Tribolium castaneum: one gene and its partner. The protein of the gene in region 2 interacts with the protein of the main gene of each other region in a biochemical or structural test. Links are inferred from orthologs where the notes say so. Each region holds a gene or a part of one and is shown on either strand. Other genes may lie near its edges.

Evidence for each region.
Region 1: the proteins of WW domain-binding protein 11 (region 2) and PQBP1 form a complex in vitro, tested with the Homo sapiens proteins (2 studies listed by BioGRID and IntAct, with this or other methods). The link is inferred for Tribolium castaneum from reciprocal best matches to the Homo sapiens genes WBP11 and PQBP1.

What each region holds. Positions count from the first base shown.
Region 1 is NC_087398.1:4,422,784-4,425,760, forward strand, and holds PQBP1 (polyglutamine-binding protein 1), read right to left. Parts: upstream 1,724-2,977; 5' UTR 1,622-1,723; coding exon 1,567-1,621; intron 1,519-1,566; coding exon 1,305-1,518; intron 1,251-1,304; coding exon 788-1,250; 3' UTR 749-787; downstream 1-748. Other genes in the region: hydrocephalus-inducing protein-like, read right to left, coding at 1-81, 131-329, 371-565, 614-697; zyd (sodium/potassium/calcium exchanger 3), read right to left, coding at 2,512-2,724, 2,771-2,892, 2,940-2,977. UniProt on the Homo sapiens protein: Intrinsically disordered protein that acts as a scaffold, and which is involved in different processes, such as pre-mRNA splicing, transcription regulation, innate immunity and neuron development.
Region 2 is NC_087394.1:25,616,416-25,620,608, reverse strand, and holds WW domain-binding protein 11, read left to right. Parts: upstream 1-1,300; 5' UTR 1,301-1,407; coding exon 1,408-1,471; intron 1,472-1,526; coding exon 1,527-1,652; intron 1,653-1,710; coding exon 1,711-1,808; intron 1,809-1,865; coding exon 1,866-2,114; intron 2,115-2,575; coding exon 2,576-3,385; 3' UTR 3,386-3,425; downstream 3,426-4,193. Other genes in the region: Mnat9 (N-acetyltransferase 9-like protein), read right to left, coding at 308-660, 715-771, 819-928, 975-1,051. UniProt on the Homo sapiens protein: Activates pre-mRNA splicing. May inhibit PP1 phosphatase activity.

The DNA of each region.
Region 1 (2,977 bases), on a different chromosome or scaffold from region 2:
TTTTTTCAGCCGTTACTTTTATGGGGACGTTTGGGAGGGTAATAACGTCGGGGAAATCGATCAAATGTCTCGGACGGAACGCTGAAAATTTAGTAATCGTCAATTAGGCCTTAATTATTTAGTACCGAACCGAAAATTGGAATTGTGAATTGTTCCTCTTCCGTTATAAAATTAATTTCGTGCTCGTAGTCTTTGAATTCATCAGAAACGAACGTGATTGTTAATTGGTAGGTCATGCCGGGAGCTACTTTGGTCCAGACGACTTTCGAAGGGTGCGAGAGTTTGAAATGAATGGTGGGTTCAAAGCGAATTTGCACGCATCTGGAAGACTAAATCCTGTGTTATTTTAAACTGAGTGTTACGTTTGTACTTGTTCTTTATTTTGGAGGGTTAAGTTAGCACTGTAGCTTTTCCCAAGCTGGAAATTCTGGAAGATTATTAAATCGGGGGTTGCTAGAAAGGGGCTAGATTGGGGCAAAAGCCTGTTTTTGCGGGTTTTTGAGAGACTTTCAAGGCGTTCGTCCAGACTCATTTTCATTTCGTTTAAATATTCAGACGGGAGGAACTACAAGTAGGGAATTAAGGGGGCGGTTTTGTGGCCTTGGGGACGTACTGGAGCCTCCGGTTTGTTTAAAATGAGGCGCAAAACGCGCATCAAGTTGCTACTATGGGGCTCACAAATAAGGTGTGACTCCATTTTTTGAATAAAATATTCTGACGTGTAGGACTTGTCAAATAAAACAATAAAATGGTTTTAGCGATATATTGATAATAAACTAATACACAATTATTTTTTCTTGCTTTTTTCTTTATTATTATTAGCTAAGACTTCTCCAGGAGCGGGGTAAGGTCTTTGCTGGTAGAGGACTCCAGAAGCCGTATTATCAGCCCTTGTTTTATTGCTCTCCAGGCCGTCACTCCACGTCCCTTGGGGGATGTCCGAATAAGCCGCTGGGTCCATGGGGTCTATGATATCCTCCCTTCGTTTCTTCCTCCCGTGTCTGTCCTCCTTCCTGTGCCTCCTGTCATCCCTATCCCGGTCCCTGTCCCTCCGATCCGAATGTTTATGACCCCTGTCATCATCATCCGAGTCATTATCGTCCGATCCCTTATCAGACTTGTCATTTTCCGCGGCTAGAACCCGTTTCTCGCGAAGTTTCGCCGCACTTAAGGTCTTCACTGATTTAGGGTGTCTTGGAGGCAGCCACGAAACCAAGTCATTTTCCATGTTCCAGTAGTAGTAACGCCCCCTGTAACACACATTTTTTGTCATAAATTTCCAACTTTTGGCCCACAAAACCTACAATCCCTTGTCAAAGACCTCAGTCCAACTGTTGGGCAAGGGGTATTTGAAGAGGAGTTTTTGCATGTTTCGCATGTAACGGGGGTCGGGGGTCAGAACACCCTTCCAGTGCGTCTCACACCAGTAGGTGCATTCGTGGAAAATGTTGCTTTTGTTGGGGCAGGTGGACCAACCTTTGAAGTTGCGTTTTTTCGTCTGATCGTCCGATTTTTTGCCTAAAATTTGTTAAATTGGTTGGGGGTAGGGTTTTAATAGTGGCTTACCAGCCAACAGCCCCCTTTTTGCCAAACGGGCCGCTAGAGCCGAAGGGAGAGGCATTTTAGCGATTTGTTTGGTAAATATAGCCTCAATGTTACATAACCTCAACTGTCGAGGGTGACAGCACAGGGCCGGATTCGGATTTTTTATCCTTAGCACAGTGGCGTATTTAGGTCCATTGCTGCCCCGGGCTACAATTTTTTGTTTAAAAAAAAAACAGTATTTGTTACGTCACCACACATGATAACTGGATGTTTTAAGCCCTCCTTTATTTAATATAAAGAAATAAAAAATCACCCTGTATTTATTTAAAAACTTTATGTTTGTCAAAAAACGTAGACAATTTTTATTTTCTTTTTATAATGAAAGTACTACGTTATCGCTGACTTTTTTCAAAGACATGTGTGCTACTCGGGCTTTTTTTACGATTATTCATCGTGAAAAAAAATTAAAAACAATTAAAGACTTAAGAAGTAAAAAAAATACGACGAAAACTAAAAGTTTGATCAACTGATTTACTATTATATTATTTATGATTCTAAAAATTGTTGGTCCGTACTTGGGATCTTTTAGGGAGGGGCTTGGTAAAATAAAAAACAAATGAAACTTTGATCATACTTGTATCTAGTGAACATAAATTACAAAATTAATAGTAGGACTGTCTGTAATGCAACATAATGTACATAATGTCAGCTACAAAATAAAATAGTTTTTAAAAAATAACCCTACTGTTGTTAGGATGGTTTAAATTGTTCTATGTACAGGACAGATTACGCAATAACTTAAACTAGAATGAGGTGCGATGCAAATTTCCTTCCTTACTCTACAACAGAATTGTTTGAGATCTGACATGATGGTGAACCAAGAATATTGCAGAAAGAAATCACAATTTTCCCATTAAAACTGTAATAAAATAAAATCTATGAAAACAAGAAGAGCGCTGATCAACTTCACCGCCCACAAGTCGGTAAATTGACTCTGAAGAAGGCATTAAGCTCGATGAGACTGGCCAAGATAAGAAAAATGGCGTACATCAACAAACATATCCGACCCACTCTCTTATCTAGTCGGAATTTATTTACGGCAAACACCAGGTATAGCAAGAGCAGCGACGACAAAAGGGAGATGGCGCTGTACTCAATTCCCGCCGAATTTATCCCCACCTAAAACCAATCTTGTAAAATTAATAATTAAAAACTGAACACCGACCCAATGTTTTCCTGCAATTGTCGGCATAAACGTGGCTTTGATGAACCAAGGAAGGCCCAAACAAAGCAAAATGTCGAAGGTGTTGGACCCGATCGAGTTGCTTATGCCCATCGAGCCGTGACCTTGAAATGGTAAAATTATCCCGGTGGTAAAACTGGCCTTTACTTACCCTGCTTGGCCACAATTACGCTCGAAACGGCCTCGGGA
Region 2 (4,193 bases):
TTATTTTACTTTCACGCGAATTATATTTTTCTCTAGTGAATGAATATGTTTTTAGTGTCCTTTTATGTAAATTAAGTCACTTATGTTTCAATTATTTTATTTGGTATTTTGTAAATTGTAAATGGTTAAATCACTTATTTATTTTAAATTTTTATTTGAGCTTTCAAAAATATAAATTTCCAAGTAATGTCTAAGGATTTTAGGCAACAAAACCTAGGAAATACTGAGCAAAGTTTGAATAAGCTTTAGGACCGAATTAAAAGTGAGGAAACAAAAAGGCACTAAATTTAAAGCATGAACAAAAAAATTATGTTTTATTTTCAACCACCTCATAATCGCCAACTGTACTTTTAAGCCACGCTATCCACGTCTCATCAACTATTTTACTGAAAGTAATTTCTTTAAAAATCTCGCTACGACCAGTTTCAATAAACCCGCAACTTTTGAACATGTGGATGCTAACATCATTATCGTCTGAAATTTTTACAACAAATTCTTTTACACCGAGTGTTTCAATTCCGTAGAGAAACATGAGTAGCATGGCTTCAGAACCGCATTTCCTACCTCTAGCCCATTGTTCTGCAATCATAATTTCAGCCTCTGCACAAATCCTGTCGTCAGCGTTTGCAAAAAACAGATTTGTGTCGCCAATCATTGACTCTTAAAACAGTGCATTTATTTCGTCGTGCTTTTTGTCTAGACTAACTAATTTACCAATTTCGTTTCCACAACTGTTGTATTTCTCTTTATCAAGAATTATGAATGTACATTCTGAAAAAATGAACTAGAAAATTGCAAAGTAAAGTGTGCCAATTTACTGTCTTCGTCCATCATCCAGGACTTTTGCATGTCGTATTCCTCCTCTAAAGTAAGGGGCTCCGAAGCCGTCAGCTTTTGGAGTTCTTCAGATTGCATCCAACTGTGATACCTGAAAATTGTTATTAAAATGACGAAACAACGCTATTTTCACCTACTTTGAGACATGTTCGGCTTTGTAAGGCACTAAAATTGTCCGGCAGCCGATAATTTGTGTGTTTTTGTTTATTAACATTTTTAGATTATGTAAGGTTATGTCTTGATGTTTGTAGCCGATTAACTTTGGTACCGAATCACTCTAATCTGTGACCGAATACCGAAAAATTAAATATTAATTTAAATATTTTGACTGTTGTAGATAAATTAAATAATGGTGCTTCATTTTTAAATGGAAAAATATAATGTTTTGGTAGGCTGTTTAAACATATTTCTATAGAATAAGATAATACAGAATTCAGTGATTGACTTTGTATTTCGACCACAGAATATTCGGCTGCAAGTCAATTCGACCGCGCGCCATGTAATGTTTGCAATGATGTTTTGAGTGCATTTTACGAGTTTTACGTGAAAATAAAGTGATATTAAGTTAAAATGGGGCGCCGGTCGATTAATACCACTAAGAGTGGTAAATACATGAATCCCACCGACCAAGCCAGTAAGACGATGTTTGGGTTTGAGGTTAGGTCACTCAAAATTTTGCCAATTTTCAGGAAAAGAAGCCCGGAAACAGGAATTAAAAAAGAATAAAAAGCAGAGACAGATGGTACGGGCCGCTGTTTTGAAAGGCAAAGACCCGCAACAGATTTTAGAAGAAATGGAAAAAATTGATCAGATGGGTACAGTTCTTGTAATGGCTTGAATAACACGGAAGATTGACTGTTTTTGTGTTTTTAGAGTATAATGTTTATCAACCGTCGCCCTTAAATGAGAAAGTTTTAAAAGACAAGAGAAAAAAGTTAAGGGATACGTTAGATCGAGTTCTTAGTATGTATGTAAGTGCTGAAGACAGGGATTTTAATTGGATGGTGTCGAATCGTTGTTTTTTTCAGTATAAAGACGATCCTGATAAGTGGGCCGATTTGAAACGAAGACAAGCCGATTATGAACATAAAAGGAACCAATTAGTCGCATTTTATGAGTCTGTTAAGAGTGCACAGCAAGTCCAAGTTGATGAAATTCCTCTGCCACAACTACCCCAACAACCAAGTAATGCCCCAGCGCAAATCCCGCTACCTTCGGAAAGAAAACAAGAGCACACGATTTATTCCATAGCCACCGCGCTAAAGTTGCAAGCACTGGTATGTATTTTTTAAAGCATTGGCAACTTAATAAAAACAACTTTGTATTAAATGAAAGTTTTACACTTCTATTTTATAACTACTATTTTTTTACTTTATTTTTCTTTTACTGTTTTTATTCCTTCGAGCATTTATGCAAACATTCTTTTTATCTATTCCATCGTGGGCACTATATTTTGTCGATCTGGCGATCTTTTACTTATTTTACTTCTTTCAAATGTATCTGAGCTTCCTAATTCGCTTTTCCTCATGTATCTTCACTTTTTATGCTTATAAAATTTTCTGAGCACTCTGACTCTTATTCGACACTCGATTTTTACGCACTAAAGTTTTCTTAACTCCAAAATAAAGCATTTGCAAAAACATTCAAAATTATTTTTACAACCTACTAAGGTAGCAAAAAAATTGAAAAAATTCGAGAAGTCGTTAAAGTAAAATTGCTATTTTTTTTGTAAAATTAGGGCCAGCCTGTGCGTGAGCCCCCCGGGTGCCCCCCCGGCCCGCCACCAGACATCAACGACGACGGCGAAGTGGAAGACTTCACTCGAACCGACGACGAAAAGGACGAAACAACTGAAGACTCCGACACAGACCCCTCCTCCAAGCCCACCTCCCTCCAACAGAAAATGGTGGCTTTATCTGGCCAAAACGTCGACGACTTCATGAAAGAAATGGAAGTCGTCCAGAAAAAACTCGAAACAAAAGAAGACGAAACCCGGGCTAAAACCCACCCTGAACCACTCATCCCTCCCGGAACGGACCTCCCACAGCCCCCCACTCCACTCCTATTCCCCAATCCTGGACTTCGATTGCCTCCAGGCCCGCCCCCCGGCCGTCCCCTTCTCCCCCCAGCGCCACCACCGGGATTACCACCGCCGCCTAGGATGCCGCTGCGTATCCCACCAGCGCCACCTAGGATGATTCGCTTGCATGGGCCCCCGCCTACGCTCCCAGGGGGCCCCAATTTGCCCTTAGGGACCCCGAATGTGTTGTCGGCAGCCCCCCAACTCATAAATCGGGTCGAGTCGACCAAACAGGGGGCGACGATTTCGGCGAAGCCCCAAATTCGCAACTTGAGTGCTGATGTGACGAGGTTTGTGCCCTCGGCGTTGAGGGTTAAAAGGGAGGATAAAAAACACAAGCCAAATACGAGGACGTTGCACGAGTTGAAGCAGAAAGAGTACCATTTGCATCAAAATACGCACCCAGAGCAACATACGAAAGATGACGCCTATAAGCAGTTTATGGAAGAAATGCAGACGCTATTGTAGTTTCTTTTATTAAAAAAATTACAGTTTCCTGTAATGAAAATTTTTACTTAGACTGGTAAAAAAAATGTAGGTAGTAAGCTGTGACGTGCAATCTGAATTGTCAAATTGACAGTTGTACACCGCAGCCTTGATTTTGGAAAAATCGTGCGTGATCGTTGTTTTCCTCACACTTGCTTGCGTCATGATTTTTATCGCAATTGTTTAATTGCCTAATAAACCGCATTGACGTCACTTGAAATAAAAGCTCAATTCGCGCGGTGTATATCTTATATTTGGCAAATGGATAATACAAACAATGGTACCTATCATTGTAAATATTTACTTATAATTAAAAAATTAAGGAGCAAGAGTCAAACAAACAACTCGAACACTGTGCAAAATAACATAATATTTGGGATTGTAACCACTAAAAATAAAACCGTTCGTTTCCCGTGATATAAGAAAATGAAGCGCCTGATCCTCGCTCCCGTTCGGAATATAAAATAAATATAAACGAAAGAAACACAAATTGATACATTTGAGCCAGTGTAGAAAATAAGTGGCAGTGAAATATATTTGTAACTATTGTGATCGAACTAAAACAATGCTTTTATTTATGTATCAATTGTTTTCCTTTTCTTGTACAGATCATAAAATTAAAGATAACGAGACATTATTGCTTGATAACTGCAGAAATGAAGAAAATTGAACAAAACAATTATTGAGATCATATTTTTTGTAAAGAGAGAGAGCAACAGTAGTACAGCATTGTTCAAAACAATTTATTACATCCAGAGTGGGTAGTTTTTTTATTTATTTATTTACAAAT